Pelodiscus sinensis: one gene and its partner. The protein of the gene in region 2 binds, or shares a complex with, the protein of the main gene of each other region. Links are inferred from orthologs where the notes say so. Each region holds a gene or a part of one and is shown on either strand. Other genes may lie near its edges.

What was found.
Region 1: GET4 (region 2) and UBL4A share a complex: the UniProt entries of both Homo sapiens proteins name them as parts of the BAG6/BAT3 complex. The link is inferred for Pelodiscus sinensis from reciprocal best matches to the Homo sapiens genes GET4 and UBL4A.

What each region holds. Positions count from the first base shown.
Region 1 is NW_027465910.1:143,811-151,533, forward strand, and holds the start of UBL4A (ubiquitin-like protein 4A), read right to left. Parts: upstream 3,257-7,723; 5' UTR 3,148-3,256; coding exon 3,100-3,147; intron 1-3,099. Other genes in the region: SLC10A3 (P3 protein), read right to left, coding at 3,990-5,288. UniProt on the Homo sapiens protein: As part of a cytosolic protein quality control complex, the BAG6/BAT3 complex, maintains misfolded and hydrophobic patches-containing proteins in a soluble state and participates in their proper delivery to the endoplasmic reticulum or alternatively can promote their sorting to the proteasome where they undergo degradation.
Region 2 is NC_134726.1:26,320,997-26,328,412, reverse strand, and holds the start of GET4 (Golgi to ER traffic protein 4 homolog), read right to left. Parts: upstream 3,011-7,416; 5' UTR 2,892-3,010; coding exon 2,737-2,891; intron 2,052-2,736; exon of another isoform or gene 2,037-2,051; coding exon of another isoform or gene 2,014-2,036; intron 1-2,013. UniProt on the Homo sapiens protein: As part of a cytosolic protein quality control complex, the BAG6/BAT3 complex, maintains misfolded and hydrophobic patches-containing proteins in a soluble state and participates in their proper delivery to the endoplasmic reticulum or alternatively can promote their sorting to the proteasome where they undergo degradation.

The DNA of each region.
Region 1 (7,723 bases), on a different chromosome or scaffold from region 2:
CCTCCGGCCCCTGACACTCCCCCGCAAACCCTCCTCTCCTGCCTCCCCGACAACCCCCTGCAAACCCTCCCCCTCCGGCCCCCGACACTCCCCCGCAAACACTCCTCTCCTGCCTCCCCGACACTCCCCCGCAAACACTCCTCTCCTGCCTCCCAGACACTCCATTGCAAACCCTCCTCTCCTGCCTCCCCGACACCTCCCCAAAACCCTCCTCTCCAGCCCCCGACACCTCCCCAAAACCCTCCCCCTCCGGCCCCCGACACTCCCCCGCAAACCCTCCTCTCTTGCCTCCCCGACACCTCCCCAAAACCCTCCCCCTCCGGCCCCCGACACTCCCCCGCAAACCCTCCTCTCCTGCCCCCGACACCTCCCCAAAACCCTCCCCCTCCGGCCCCCGACACCTCCCCAAAACCCTCCTCTCCAGCCCCCGACACCTCCCCAAAACCCTCCCCCTCCGGCCCCCGACACTCCCCCGCAAACCCTCCTCTCCTGCCTCCCCGACACTCCCCCGCAAACCCTCCTCTCTTGCCTCCCCGACACCTCTCCAAAACCCTCCCCCTCCGGCCCCCGACACTCCCCCGCAAACCCTCCTCTCCTGCCCCCGACGCCTCCCCAAAACCCTCCCCCTCCGGCCCCCGACACTCCCCCGCAAACCCTCCTCTCCTGCCTCCCCGACACCTCCCCAAAACCCTCCCCCTCCGGCCCCCGACACTCCCCCGCAAACACTCCTCTCCTGCCTCCCCGACACCCCCCTAAAACCCTCCCCCTCCGGCCCCCGACACTCCCCCACAAACACTCCTCTCCTGCCTCCCCGACACCCCCCTAAAACCCTCCCCCTACGGCCCCCGACACTCCCCCGCAAACACTCCTCTCCTGCCTCCCCGACACCCCCCTAAAACCCTCCCCCTCCGGCCCCCGACACTCCCCCGCAAACACTCCTCTCCTGCCTCCCCGACACCCCCCTGCAAACCCTCCTCTCCTGGCTCCCCGACACCTCCCCAAAACCCTCCCCCTCCCGCCCCCGACACTCCCCCGCAAACACTCCTCTCCTGCCTCCCCGACACCCCCCCGCAAACCCTCCTCTCCTGCCTCCCCGACACCTCCCCAAAACCCTCCCCCTCCGGCCCCCGACACTCCCCCGCAAACACTCCTCTCCTGCCTCCCCGACACCTCCCCAAAACCCTCCCCCTCCGGCCCCCGACAATCCCCCGCAAACACTCCTCTCCTGCCTCCCCGACACTCCCCCGCAAACACTCCTCTCTTGCCTCCCCGACACCTCCCCAAAACCCTCCCCCTCCGGCCCCCGACACTCCCCCGCAAACCCTCCTCTCCTGCCCCCGACACCTCCCCAAAACCCTCCCCCTCCGGCCCCCGACACTCCCCCGCAAACCCTCCTCTCCTGCCCCCGACACCTCCCCAAAACCCTCCCCCTCCGGCCCCCGACACTCCCCCGCAAACCCTCCTCTCCTGCCTCCCCGACACCCCCCTGCAAACCCTCCTCTCCTGCCTCCCCGACACCTCCCCAAAACCCTCCCCCTCCGGCCCCCGATACTCCCCCGCAAACACTCCTCTCCTGCCTCCCCGACATCCCCCTAAAACCCTCCCCCTCCGGCCCCCGACACTCCCCCGCAAACACTCCTCTCCTGCCTCCCCGACACCCCCCTAAAACCCTCCCCCTCCGGCCCCCGACAATCCCCCGCAAACACTCCTCTCCTGCCTCCCCGACACCCCCCTGCAAACCCTCCTCTCCTGCCTCCCCGACACCCCCCTAAAACCCTCCCCCTCCGGCCCCCGACACTCCCCCGCAAACACTCCTCTCCTGCCTCCCCGACACCCCCCTAAAACCCTCCCCCTCCGGCCCCCGACACTCCCCCGCAAACACTCCTCTCCTGCCTCCCCGACACCCCCCTAAAACCCTCCCCCTCCGGCCCCTGACACTCCCCCGCAAACCCTCCTCTCCTGCCTCCCCGACAACCCCCTGCAAACCCTCCCCCTCCGGCCCCCGACACTCCCCCGCAAACACTCCTCTCCTGCCTCCCCGACACTCCCCCGCAAACACTCCTCTCCTGCCTCCCAGACACTCCATTGCAAACCCTCCTCTCCTGCCTCCCCGACACCTCCCCAAAACCCTCCTCTCCAGCCCCCGACACCTCCCCAAAACCCTCCCCCTCCGGCCCCCGACACTCCCCCGCAAACCCTCCTCTCCTGCCTCCCCGACACTCCCCCGCAAACCCTCCTCTCTTGCCTCCCCGACACCTCCCCAAAACCCTCCCCCTCCGGCCCCCGACACTCCCCCGCAAACCCTCCTCTCCTGCCCCCGACACCTCCCCAAAACCCTCCCCCTCCGGCCCCCGACACTCCCCCGCAAACCCTCCTCTCCTGCCCCCGACACCTCCCCAAAACCCTCCCCCTCCGGCCCCCGACACTCCCCCGCAAACCCTCCTCTCCTGCCTCCCCGACACCCCCCTGCAAACCCTCCTCTCCTGCCTCCCCGACACCTCCCCAAAACCCTCCCCCTCCGGCCCCCGATACTCCCCCGCAAACACTCCTCTCCTGCCTCCCCGACATCCCCCTAAAACCCTCCCCCTCCGGCCCCCGACACTCCCCCGCAAACACTCCTCTCCTGCCTCCCCGACACCCCCCTAAAACCCTCCCCCTCCGGCCCCCGACAATCCCCCGCAAACACTCCTCTCCTGCCTCCCCGACACCCCCCTGCAAACCCTCCTCTCCTGCCTCCCCGACACCCCCCTAAAACCCTCCCCCTCCCGCCCCCGACACTCCCCCGCAAACACTCCTCTCCTGCCTCCCCGACACCCCCCTAAAACCCTCCCCCTCCGGCCCCCGACACTCCCCCGCAAACACTCCTCTCCTGCCTCCCCGACACTCCCCCGCAAACACTCCTCTCCTGCCTCCCCGACACCCCCCTAAAACCCTCCCCCTCCGGCCCCCGACACTCCCCCGCAAACCCTCCTCTCCTGCCTCCCCCACACCTCCCCAAAACTCTCCTCTCCCGATCCCTGACACCCCCCCCCCCGCAAACCCTCCTCTCCCGCCCCCCGACACCCCCCCGCAAACCCGCCCCCCGACAGCCCCCCCCACCTGGAGGCTGCATCCCCGGCCCTGAAGCGCCTTCACCGTGAGCAGCATCGCGCAGCCCGGAGCGGCCCCTTTAACGGCACCATAGACGCCCGGAGGGAAGCGGGCTTAGAGCGACCGCCACGGAACCATAGAGCCGGAAGAGGCGCGTAGAGCGTCACGTGTCATAGAGTGTCAGTGCCTTGGAGCCTAGAGTGGCCGGGGCCATAGTGCGCCGCGGCTCGTACCATAGAGTCTCGGGCCCGAACATTGGCTCCTGTAGCCTAGACTGGAGCCGCGGCGGGCGCAGGGCTAGAGTGTCCCTGTTGTACCATAGAGATCCAAACGCAGCGCGGATAGAGCGGACATTCCCTCCCCGCCGCACTCGCGACTATTCTGGCCTGGCCCCAGCACCATAGAGTCTATTCTGCGGGGGGAGGGGAGAGCGGCCAAGTAGAGAGAGGCGCCCCCAGAGCCGGGACCTCCCACTGGCCCCGCCCCCAGCCCCCGACTCCGCCCCCAAGCTGGCTGTGAATGGCACCAGCGTTGAGCCTCCACCAATAACAGCTCCATGCACAAACTTGCTCTTTCTCCTTTATTGGCCCCTTCCCCTCCCTTAACAGCCTGTGTGGCCCCCTCCCTGAGGACCATTGCCAGCCACACAGAAAACACAGTATAAAATGAGGCTGGGTGTTCAGGGGCCCAACATGAGACTTTGGTTTCCTACTGCCCCCACTGGGAGGGGCCCCTGGGGTGAGCCCCTTGTACAGCAGGTCCCTGAATCTGCCTGTCTCTGCCCCCCAACAGCAGGGTGCTCAGCTCCTAGGGCAGCCCAGCCCTGCAGTAGAGGGGCACTCAGTGCTTAGGGCTGCCCAGCCCCCAGCAGGACCCATTCCTTCTCACAGATGGGGCACTCAGGGACTGGCAGATGGCTGCAGCTTCTTGTAGAGGAGATGGGCCAGCACTAGCACCAGCATCTCAGCCGTGCTGCTCAGGGCCACCACGAAGGGGGCCTGGGAGGCATAGTCAGCCTGGCGACGGCGGAAAGATAACTGCAGCACAGCCAGTGCCAGCAAGCTGTTCTGCACTCCCACCTCAATGCTGACTGTGCGGCAGTGTGGGCCTGGCAACCGCAGGCAGGCAGCCAAGAGGTAACCCAGCCCCAGGCCAACGAGGGGCACGGTGAGCCCGGCCAGCACCACTGGGGGCTCCACCTCAGCCAGGATGACGGCTCCCATGTGGTAGGCCAGGAGGAGTCCACCCAGGATGAGGGCAAAACTGAAGGGTTTGATGAGCAGCAGCAGCAGGCGGGCCACGCGGGGCAGCTTCCACTTCACCAGCAGCCCAGCCGATATGGGCACCGCAATGAAGAGCAGTGTGCCCACGATCTTGGCGAAGGGCACGTGCAGGCTGGGGTGGGCACTCAGCAGGCGCCCATAAAGGGCCGAGGAGAGCGGCATGAGCCCAGCGGCTGCCACAGTGGACAGCAGTGTCATGGCAATCGCCAGGGTCACGTTGCCACCCAGCAGCAGGCTGTAGAGGTAGCCACCACCCCCACCTGGTGAGGAGCAGGTGACAACCAGCCCCAGTGCCAGCGCCGGGGGGAGGGCAAAGGCCAGCGAGAGGAGGTAGCCATAGAGTGGCATAGCAATAAACTGGCCCACAATGCCCAGGAGCACGGGCTGTGGCTGGCGCGCCAGCTCCCGCAGCGCCTCCAGCTCCACCTTGCAGCCGAAGGCACACTTGTTGACAAAGATGAGGGGCAGCAGAGCATAAAGCAACGGGTTCTCTGAGAAGTGGCCCAGGCCTGGGTGCCCTGGCTCCTCACTCGCCATCACCCGCACCCGGAACTCGCCCCGCTCCTCCACCAGCTGATGCTGGTCCAGCAGGCGCAGCCGAAGTGGTGCCAGCCCAGCTGGGCCTGAGCGGATGGCCACCAGGAAACCGCCTGCTCCACAGCACAAAGCACTCACGTTCTCCACAGTCAGCACCGCAGGTGCCAATGAGGCCGCACTGAGCCGGGCACCACTTGCTGTCCCATTGGTGCCCAAGTACCGGCTGGACACGACCATGACACCCCGGCTCCTCTCAGGGAAGTCAAACTCCAGGGCACTGCCATCACCCACACTCAGGTACCTGCCAGCTGGCTGCCCCCAGCTGGCCCAGGTCCAGCGGCCCAGCCCCAGCAGCAGCAGTGCCAGGGCTTGAGCCATGCCGGAGCACTCACGGCTCATGGGCATCTGGCCTCCTCCAGGTCCGGCACATCGGGACGTTCCCGGCCAGCAGGTGCAGGTCTGGATGCTCTGGTGCCTGTGGGAGTGGAGGGGCAGAGGTGAGAAGAGGAGCCCAGGCTGGAGGTGGCAGGGTTGGATGCCACCCCCCACCAGAGAACTGGGGGGAGGGGGAGTGTGGACCCACGCTGTGGGGCAGGGGGCAATGTGCAGAGCTATGGGGTGGGGAGGGGGCAGGGGTGTGGAGTTATGGGACGCAGGGAGGGGTTGTGAGGCGGGGCGGGGCTGTGAGGTGAGGGGGGAGTTTACGGGGCGGGGGATGCTCCCTCCCCCTGCAGCCAGAGAGCCCCCCCGCCCCGGCCCACACCTGACACCGACCCGCGGACCAGTCTTGACTCGGCTGCGTCCGGCTTCCTTCGGCCCCGCCCCACGTTCACGTCACAGGGGTGGTCCCGCCCCACGGGCATGACCTCACTAAGGTCTAGCCCACCACGGAAGTGCCGAAGCGCGCCCCCTAGAGGGCGGTGCCTGGGACCGGAAGAGCGCGCACCTGAGAGGGCGGGGCTCGCTGTCCGCTGGCTGGCTGGAATCCTGCGGTGTGCGCGCGCGTGGGGCAGTTAGGGGACGGAGGGCAGATAGGGCGGGGCTCAGAGAATCCGGGGCGCTGATTGGTTAAGATGGGGCACGTGGCTGCTCATTAGCGGCTCCTGGCGCTTCCTTAACGCCCCCATAGCAGCGAGCCCCGCCCTGTGATTGGCGGGGCTCAGGGGCCCCCGCCCTGTGATTGGCCAGGCTCAGGGGACCCCCGCCCTGTGATTGGCGGGGCTCAGGGGCCCCCGCCATGTGATTGGCCAGGCTCAGGGGCCCCCCGCCCTGTGATTGGCAGGGCTGAGGGGCCCCCGCCATGTGATTGGCGGAGCTCAGGGGCCCCCGCCCTGTGATTGGCAGGGCTCAGGGGCCCCCGCCCTGTGATTGGCTAGGCTCAGGGGCCCCCGCCCTGTGACTGGCGGGGCTCAGGGGCCCCCGCCATGTGATTGGCCAGGCTCAGGGGCCCCCGCCCTGTGATTGGCAGGGCTCAGAGGCCCCCCCGCCCTGTATTGGCCAGGCTCAGGGGCCCCCTGCCCTGAGATTGGCAGGGCTCAGGGGCCCCCGCCCTGTGATTGGCCAGGCTCAGGGGCCCCCGCCCTGTGATTGGCAGGGCTCAGCCCCCCCCCCCCCACCATGTGCCTTTTCTCCCACTACACTGGCCGGGGGGAGGCTGGTCTCCTGGCTCAGCCCCATGGGGGGGGGGGTGCAGCGCGAGGGGTCTTTGGCCCGCCAGGCATCGCCCTGTGTCCAGGAGGGTCCCCAGCAGGGGAGCCACCAAGGGCCCCGGAGGCAGTACGAGCAGGAGGATCAAAGCCTGAGAGTGGAGAGGCCTGGTGAATCAATGGCGGAGCATCCCGGAGTTTTGGACTCGTCTCAACACACTGGCCCCACCCAGGCTGCCCCCACGAGGACCAAGCCCCAGACTCTACAAGGCTCTTGCTTAGGTGAGCGAGCACAGCCGGGGGACAGAGTGATGGTGTCCAAAGGCAGAAGGCTCAGAGAAGAGCCCTGCAAATGACCAAGGGCTAGAAAACCAGCCTTCTAGCTAGCGACTCCAGGAGCACAGTTGGAACCACTGTCCCAGAATAAATGAACTGAACAGAGAATCATCTAGTGACCCATCCCCGGCTTCTGAAAGAGGCTAGGGAGACCCTTCCTACTCCCCTGGCTAACAGCCATTGATGGACCTGCCTCCATGAACTCGTCTAGCTCTTTATTGAACCCTGCCTTAGTTTTGGCCTCCACGACATCTTTTGGCAAGGAGTTACACATGTTCATTGTGTGTTGTGTATGGAAAAACTTCTTGCTTTAAACCTGCCACCTATTATTTGGTGACACCTAGTTCTTCTGCTATGAAGAGGCATGTAACAATTCCATATTTACTGTCTCCACACCAGTCATGATTTTATAGACCTCTAGCATATCTCCTCCCCCTTAGTTGCGTCTTTTCCACGTGCAGAAGTCCCAGTCTTTTTTGATCTCTCCTACAGAAGCTGCTCCAAACCCTAATAATTTCCAGGGTTTGACAATTTAGGTAATCTACTCGCCATGGGCGAACAGATTATAGCCTGGCACGGTGCCACAGCACAATCAGTGCATGCACAGCGGTCTGCACATGCGCAGCTAGCGAGCGGAGCTCGCCGCGGCTTGGCAAGCCCTGATCATTTCTGTTGCTTTTTAAAAAACTTTTACAATTCCAAGGGTGACCCCAGCTGCACACAGTATCTTAGATGTAGGCCTACCATGGATTGCCAGAGAGACACTGTCGTACTAGCTATCTCTTTGATTCCCAACATTGTTTGCATTTTGCCTGCTGCTGCACATAGAGA
Region 2 (7,416 bases):
TGTGGGACTAGTTGACTATCTGATAAGCTTTTGCTTATTGGATAGTGACTAGTCACTTACGTCTCAGTAGGGATGTATCTAGACTCCTTCACAAACTAATATTAAATGCAAAAAAGAGTTTAAAAATAAAGTTTTACACAGTAGATGACAATTCAATATTATAACTGCCATGTACTTAAAGTAGTAATATAGTACAAGTACTGCACCATAAAGCAGACCTGTTATGTTACTCATTAGTAGGCAATTGGAACGTAAAACCCTGTTTAATAGGTTAACTGTTTAATGAGAATGGGCAGGAGGGGCTGCTCCAGCCTGACCAAAGGATCAGGAGCTGCTCCAGCACCCACCAGTTAACTGGAACTAATAAGCACCACCCATTAGGGTCATGCTCACAATTAACTTTTTGCATCCCAATAGACACAAAATGTGGAGGTGTCCACTTTAACCAAAAAATTCCTAAGTTCACTAAACATGGTGAGATATCAATATATTTTAAAGAGTCCTCAAATCAAGTTCTGCTTGATAATCCATCAATGTCACAAGAATCCAGACACCCACAAACTAGAATTACATCTGATTAGAGATTAAAAGCAGATCTGTATAGAGAGACTCTCTCACTACAGATGCATTTTAAGGCACATTTTAAATTCTTACTCTTCAAATGGAAGATTTGAGTGTACTTTAATGAAACATTTGATCAAAGTTTTTTTTTGTTTCTTAAATTCAAGTTGTAATTTTATGACAGCCCTAAAAAGCAGATTTGACTAAATCTGCACACTGTACATATCAATAATATGATTGAAAAGGAGAACATTTTGGAGCAAAGGACACAAAAAAAGTTTACAGCTACTAAGAATATCTGTAACTACCAGATGCTAACTTCTTTATCTAGCATGAGGTTTATTGAAGAACTACTAATTCAATCACAATAATAATAAACACTCTGTCCTACTATTCTTCTATCTGGGGATGTCAAAGTCCTTTACAAATGTCAATTAAGTCCTTCAGCAGCTTGTTTTAATATAGTTAACCTTGAAATAACTTTTTTCCTGTCTTTCTCTTCTGCATCTGAGGAAATGAGTTATAGCTTACAAAAGCATATGCTCCAATATCCTAATAAATTGGTTAGTCTTTAAGGTGTCACCAGATTTTGTTGTTTTTACTGAAACAAACTAATTCAACTACCTCTCTGAAATCTGACAAGAAACTACTCCTCATGGACTCACATTCTTTAATCCTTCTGAAAATATAACCTCATCCTTTTAACTTTAAGTATCCCTGAAAGGAATGGAAGAAACTGACAAGGTGGAAGAGGGATAATGTAACATCCATTTATGATTTTCTTAATAGAAAAGTGGCGAGGAGTCCTGTGGCACCTTATAGACTAACTGAAGTGTAGGAGCATAAGCTTTCGTGGGCAAAGACTCACTTCATCAGGTGCATCTGACGAAGTGGGTCTTTGCCCAGGAAAGCTTATGCTCCTACACTTCAGTTAGTCTATAAGGTGCCACAGGACTCCTCGCCGCTTTTGCAGATTCAGACTAACACGGCTACCCCTCTGCTGCTTAATAGAAAAGGTGCAACATCACCTCTCTTTCTATTGGTTAAAGAAAGAGTGGAGACCCCCTTCCGATAGGACTGGCCTTAGGATGCCAAGTTGCTGGAGCAAATTGGCATACGAAGGTGCAGTGGGGAACAGGGTAGAAAAAATAAGCAAGGAATCTTCTCCAATCCTGCTTGCTCCAAGGCAAGCCTATATGCAACGCTAAACAGCCAGAAAAGAATGAGAAAATGAGGCATCTGCTTTTGGGCCCAATTTCTGTTGAGACTGCATGGGGCTCTCTAGAAGTGCAAGATGACAGTCTAACACAGCAGTAGAATACAAACATGGGAGAAATTGAGGGCCCCATGGGAGTAGGGGGCCCTTCCACAAGGCATCCAGCCCCCATGATGCCACATCTGACTGGTGGTGAAGAGCTAGGCAAGAAGGGATGTACGGAGTTAACTGATCACCTGCTAAGCAGCCTTCCTAGCATGTTTACCAGGGTAACCCCTTAACCGGCTGCTCCAGCTCGGCCGGGGCCACCATGCTGCAGGCGGGGGTCCACTGCAGCCTGGCCGGGGTGGGTGGGGGGGGGGGGGGGGAACAGCCCCTGGCCTGTTAACCTTTAAACCGTGATCTTACGTCCGCTGCCTCCCCTCCCAGGCCACTCGCTCTGGGGTGGAGCGCGACCCCGATCGTCAGCTCCCAGCCCCCAGCCTCCGCGGGTGGCCGCGGCCCCGTGTGGGTGACAAAACGGGGGGCCAGTCTCCAGACCTGCTGGCCAGGGAGTCCCAAGGCAACAGACGCCGGCCTCCCCCTATTAACATCTGTCTTTGGGGAGGCCCCCCCCTCACTAACCCCCCCCCCCGCCAAGAGCCCCCGGCCCCGCCCCCTTCGCTCTGCCTCTGCAGCTCCCCTCGGCGCTCTCGAAGGGGGGGGGAAGGCCGGACACCTGGGGGGGGGGCGCGTAGAGAGAATTCTACCCCCTTCCCCTGCAAGCCGCCTCCCCCCCTACGCACTTCACGCTGCCCTGCACGGCGAGCGCCTCCCCGTTCTCGTCCAATCAGCGGGCGAACGCATGAGACGGACAAGCCGCGCGGCCAATCGCACGGGCCGGGCGCGCAGGCAGCAGGCTAGTGTGCGCGCTCGGAAGGCTCTGGAAGGGGCCAGAGGGAAGGGTGGCCGGGCTGTACCTGAAGAAGAGAGTCCGGTACATCTGGTGCGCCTCGTAGTATTCGCCCTTCTCCACGCTGGCGCGGAGCTTCCCTTCCACCCGCTGCACCCCACCCCGGTTCCGCCCGCCGCCGCCCTTGGCGGCCTCCTGCTCCGCCATCATCGCCGCCGCCATGGATGCGGGGAGGGCGGGCGGAGAGACACGGGCCAGGCCCCGCCGCTGCCTGCTACACACAGGCCCTTCTGCCCGGGCCGGCTTCCGTCAGCCCCGCCCACCGAGCGAGACGGCAGCCTGGGCGGGCCAGTGCCCGCAGCGCAGCTTCGCGGTGGCGTCACGCAGCGCTGGGCGGGGCCAAGAGATGATGGGGGGGGGGGGGGGTAGATGGCTCTGGTGGGACTTGTTCAGCTGCGTTTGCTCCCCTCTGACTGGAACGTGGCCTCTTCCTATTCACTGTAGCACGAGGCGGGGCGTGCAGCCTGGCTGCGCTGGAGGGGCTGAGCAGAGGTGAATTGTGAGCTCACCTGCAGCCACCTCCCATCTTAACAAAGCCAAGCGGTGCCCCCTGTGAGCGCAGGACCAGGGCACAGAGTGACCCTACTTTCCAAACCAAAAATCAGGACACGTGATCTGACACAGGATTTTTTTTTCTGATTTGTGAGCAGGCTGGGGGCACAGGGTGTGGGGTGGAGAGTGAGCAGGCTGGGGGCCCAGGGTGTGGGGTGGAGAGTGAGCAGGCTGGGGGCACAGGATGTGGGGTGGAGAGTGAGCAGGCTGGGGGCACAGGATGTGGGGTGGAGAGTGAGCAGGCTGGGGGCCCAGGGTGTGGGAGGAGAGTGAGCAGGCTGGGGGCCCAGGGTGTGGGGTGGAGAGTGAGCAGGCTGGGGGCCCAGGGTGTGGGAGGAGAGTGAGCAGGCTGGGGGCCCAGGGTGTGGGGTGGAGAGTGAGCAGGCTGGGGGCCCAGGGTGTGGGAGGAGAGTGAGCAGGCTGGGGGCACAGGGTGTGGGGTGGAGAGTGAGCAGGCTGGGGGCCCAGGGTGTGGGAGGAGAGTGAGCAGGCTGGGGGCCCAGGGTGTGGGAGGAGAGTGAGCAGGCTGGGGGCCCAGGGTGTGGGAGGAGAGTGAGCAGGCTGGGGGCCCAGGGTGTGGGGTGGAGAGTGAGCAGGCTGGGGGCCCAGGGTGTGGGGTGGAGAGTGAGCAGGCTGGGGGCCCAGGGTGTGGGAGGAGAGTGAGCAGGCTGGGGGCCCAGGGTGTGGGGTGGAGAGTGAGCAGGCTGGGGGCCCAGGGTGTGGGGTGGAGAGTGAGCAGGCTGGGGGCCCAGGGTGTGGGGTGGAGAGTGAGCAGGCTGGGGGCCCAGGGTGTGGGAGGAGAGTGAGCAGGCTGGGGGCACAGGGTGTGGGTGGAGAGTGAGCAGGCTGGGGGCACAGGGTGTGGGGTGGAGAGTGAGCAGGCTGGGGGCCCAGGGTGTGGGAGGAGAGTGAGCAGGCTGGGGGCACAGGGTGTGGGTGGAGAGTGAGCAGGCTGGGGGCACAGGGTGTGGGGTGGAGAGTGAGCAGGCTGGGGGCCCAGGGTGTGGGAGGAGAGTGAGCAGGCTGGGGGCCCAGGGTGTGGGTGGAGAGTGAGCAGGCTGGGGGCCCAGGGTGTGGGAGGAGAGTGAGCAGGCTGGGGGCACAGGGTGTGGGAGGAGAGTGAGCAGGCTGGGGGCACAGGGTGTGGGAGGAGAGTGAGCAGGCTGGGGGCACAGGGTGTGGGGTGGAGAGTGAGCAGGCTGGGGGCACAGGGTGTGGGAGGAGAGTGAGCAGGCTGGGGGCACAGGGTGTGGGTGGAGAGTGAGCAGGCTGGGGGCCCAGGGTGTGGGTGGAGAGTGAGCAGGCTGGGGGCACAGGGTGTGGGAGGAGAGTGAGCAGGCTGGGGGCACAGGGTGTGGGGTGGAGAGTGAGCAGGCTGGGGGCACAGGGTGTGGGAGGAGAGTGAGCAGGCTGGGGGCACAGGGTGTGGGGTGGAGAGTGAGCAGGCTGGGGGCACAGGGTGTGGGGTGGAGAGTGAGCAGGCTGGGGGCACAGGGTGTGGGTGGAGAGTGAGCAGGCTGGGGGCACAGGGTGTGGGTGGAGAGTGAGCAGGCTGGGGGCCCAGGGTGTGGGTGGAGAGTGAGCAGGCTGGGGGCCCAGGGTGTGGGAGGAGAGTGAGCAGGCTGGGGGCCCAGGGTGTGGGAGGAGAGTGAGCAGGCTGGGGGCCCAGGGTGTGGGAGGAGAGTGAGCAGGCTGGGGGCCCAGGGTGTGGGAGGAGAGTGAGCAGGCTGGGGGCCCAGGGTGTGGGTGGAGAGTGAGCAGGCTGGGGGCACAGGGTGTGGGTGGAGAGTGAGCAGGCTGGGGGCCCAGGGTGTGGGTGGAGAGTGAGCAGCCTGGGGGCCCAGGGTCTGCACAGGCTAGGGGAGTGGGGTCTCCAGGAAAGCGACCAGCAAGCGGGCTGGGGTTGCGGGGTCTGGGCACGAGGGGCTACTAACACCATGCCCCATCTCCCGCTGCTGTTATGGGCCAGATTCCGGAGCAGTGGGATGCGTTCCTGTTCCCCTGGGAAGGGGAGGGAAAGTGGCAGCACATGGAGCCGCTACTAGCTGTGCTTCTTCCCCACAAGCCGGATCCAGTGGGGAGTCTCGAGGCTCTCTCCCCAGCCCTTCCAAAATATTTGCCAAAATATTTGAAATTCTGGGACATTTCGATGGTTTATGGGGAGAATGGGACAGAATGTTTGAAATCAAGAAATACGGTCGGCATAATAATAGAGAATCAGTGTGCATATGGTTTTGTCAATACAATTGTATAGTCATGACACACTGATGTTAAAAAATACGATGACAAAATTACATACTATGAGTCACCTTTTTGAAACAACTACATCAAAGCCAGCTAATGATGGCAACATGGTCCATATAAATGGCAAAATTCACATGTTCTAGGATATTGGTGACCAACATGACATAACTGAATTCTTAGGCCACAGCAAAAATGTGTCTATCTAAAACTTCCATCCCCAGTTGCTCAGCTTTCACTCTTTAGTGAGGTAAATTTTACTAGCCTGCAGTCACGTGAGACTTCCAGGGTAGAGGATATCTGAATTTCTAGTTCTCTCTCCAGTTCCTTGTTCGTATTCTTCCATTTTTTAAATTAATAAAACATTTACTTTGTACATCATTGGGAGCAAAACCCAATTTCTTTTTGCAAGTTAATGTTAAATATTTCTGAAAAAAACAATGCTTGGCACTTACATAAGATTTCCAAAGAAACAATCTAGTGTCAAGAGCAGATTCTGGAGTCTAATGAACAAGCATAAATGGAGGAAAAACTAGCAGAATAATGCAATGCACTAGGAACATCCCATCTAGGTTTCTGACTACAGCTTTGGAAAATTCACCAAACTCCTCTGCCGCCACATCCCAGCCTTTATACTGAGCCCACTTTTTGTACAATGTTGTGCAAATACGTAAATTCCCACACGATCAATAAAGCTCAACTGTGTATCTGTCAACTGAGTCTTGTTCCAGACAGGGAAAACAAGAGGGATGACATAGCAAATACTTTCCTGATACCATATTATACATGGCGTGATGCACATGACCTGTGTTGTAAACTTTACAACTTTTGATCTGAATAGCCTAACATAGACTTGAGAATGATTTCTCTGAAAGGTTTCAACAAATTTTATTCCACTAGAGGGCAGATGTTTACACATACAAATTTTGTGCAAGAAACAAAATGAAACCTTGAGGAATTTTGTTCAAATGCAGCCTAGTGGAGTTGCAACCAAATACCATTTTCTTAATTTTGCTAATTATATTAAGTGACAGAAAGGGCAAGTTTAAATGTATAATTTTGTCTGACAATCTGCAGCTTTTTTACTCAACATCACTGTGTGTTTAGCTGTGTCTTGTTTAGAGTGTTGCAATAGCATGGTACTTAAGTAAACAAAACTAATGGCTGGTTGAATTTTTTGGGGTAAAGGTACATAACCTTGCCTGCTTGTTGACACAGACAGCTTGAGGTTTTAGGTGAGCACTAAGTGAAACATTTGACACTTCACAAATAAAAACAAACTTCTGTGCACAAATGTTATTTGCAATAGTGTGTTGCTACAGACTCATGAGTTTACTTTGATCCCCTTCAGTCCGCAACAGAAGGTAATCTGGATATTTCCCCTGTAGTTGCAAAATACTTAAGTGCATTTGTCAGTAGAACTTGCAGTGATGTCAGACAATACAGAGATGCTTCTTTACTCTCAAGGGGTATGTCTACACTACCCAGGGGCTGTGTCTACACTGGCATCCTTTTCCGGAAAAGGGATGCTAATGAGACACTTCGGAATTGCAAATCCGCGGGGGATTTAAATATCCCCCGCGGCATTTGCATTTACATGGCTGCCGCTTTTTTCCGGCTCGGGGTTTTTGCTGGAGAAAAGCGCCAGTCTAGACGCGATTTTCCAGAAAATAAGCCCTTTTGGAAAAGCATCCTGCCAATGTAGATGCGCTTTTTCCGGAAATACTTATAACGGAAAACTGTTCTCTTTTAAGCATTTCCGGAAAAGGGTGCCAGTGTAGACGTTGCCTCAAGGTTCATTACACCAGGAGTCTTCACTCAGACATAGGAACAAAACCCATTTAACTTTGTAATTAGGGCATGTCTGCACTGGGAAATTATTTTGAAATAACTC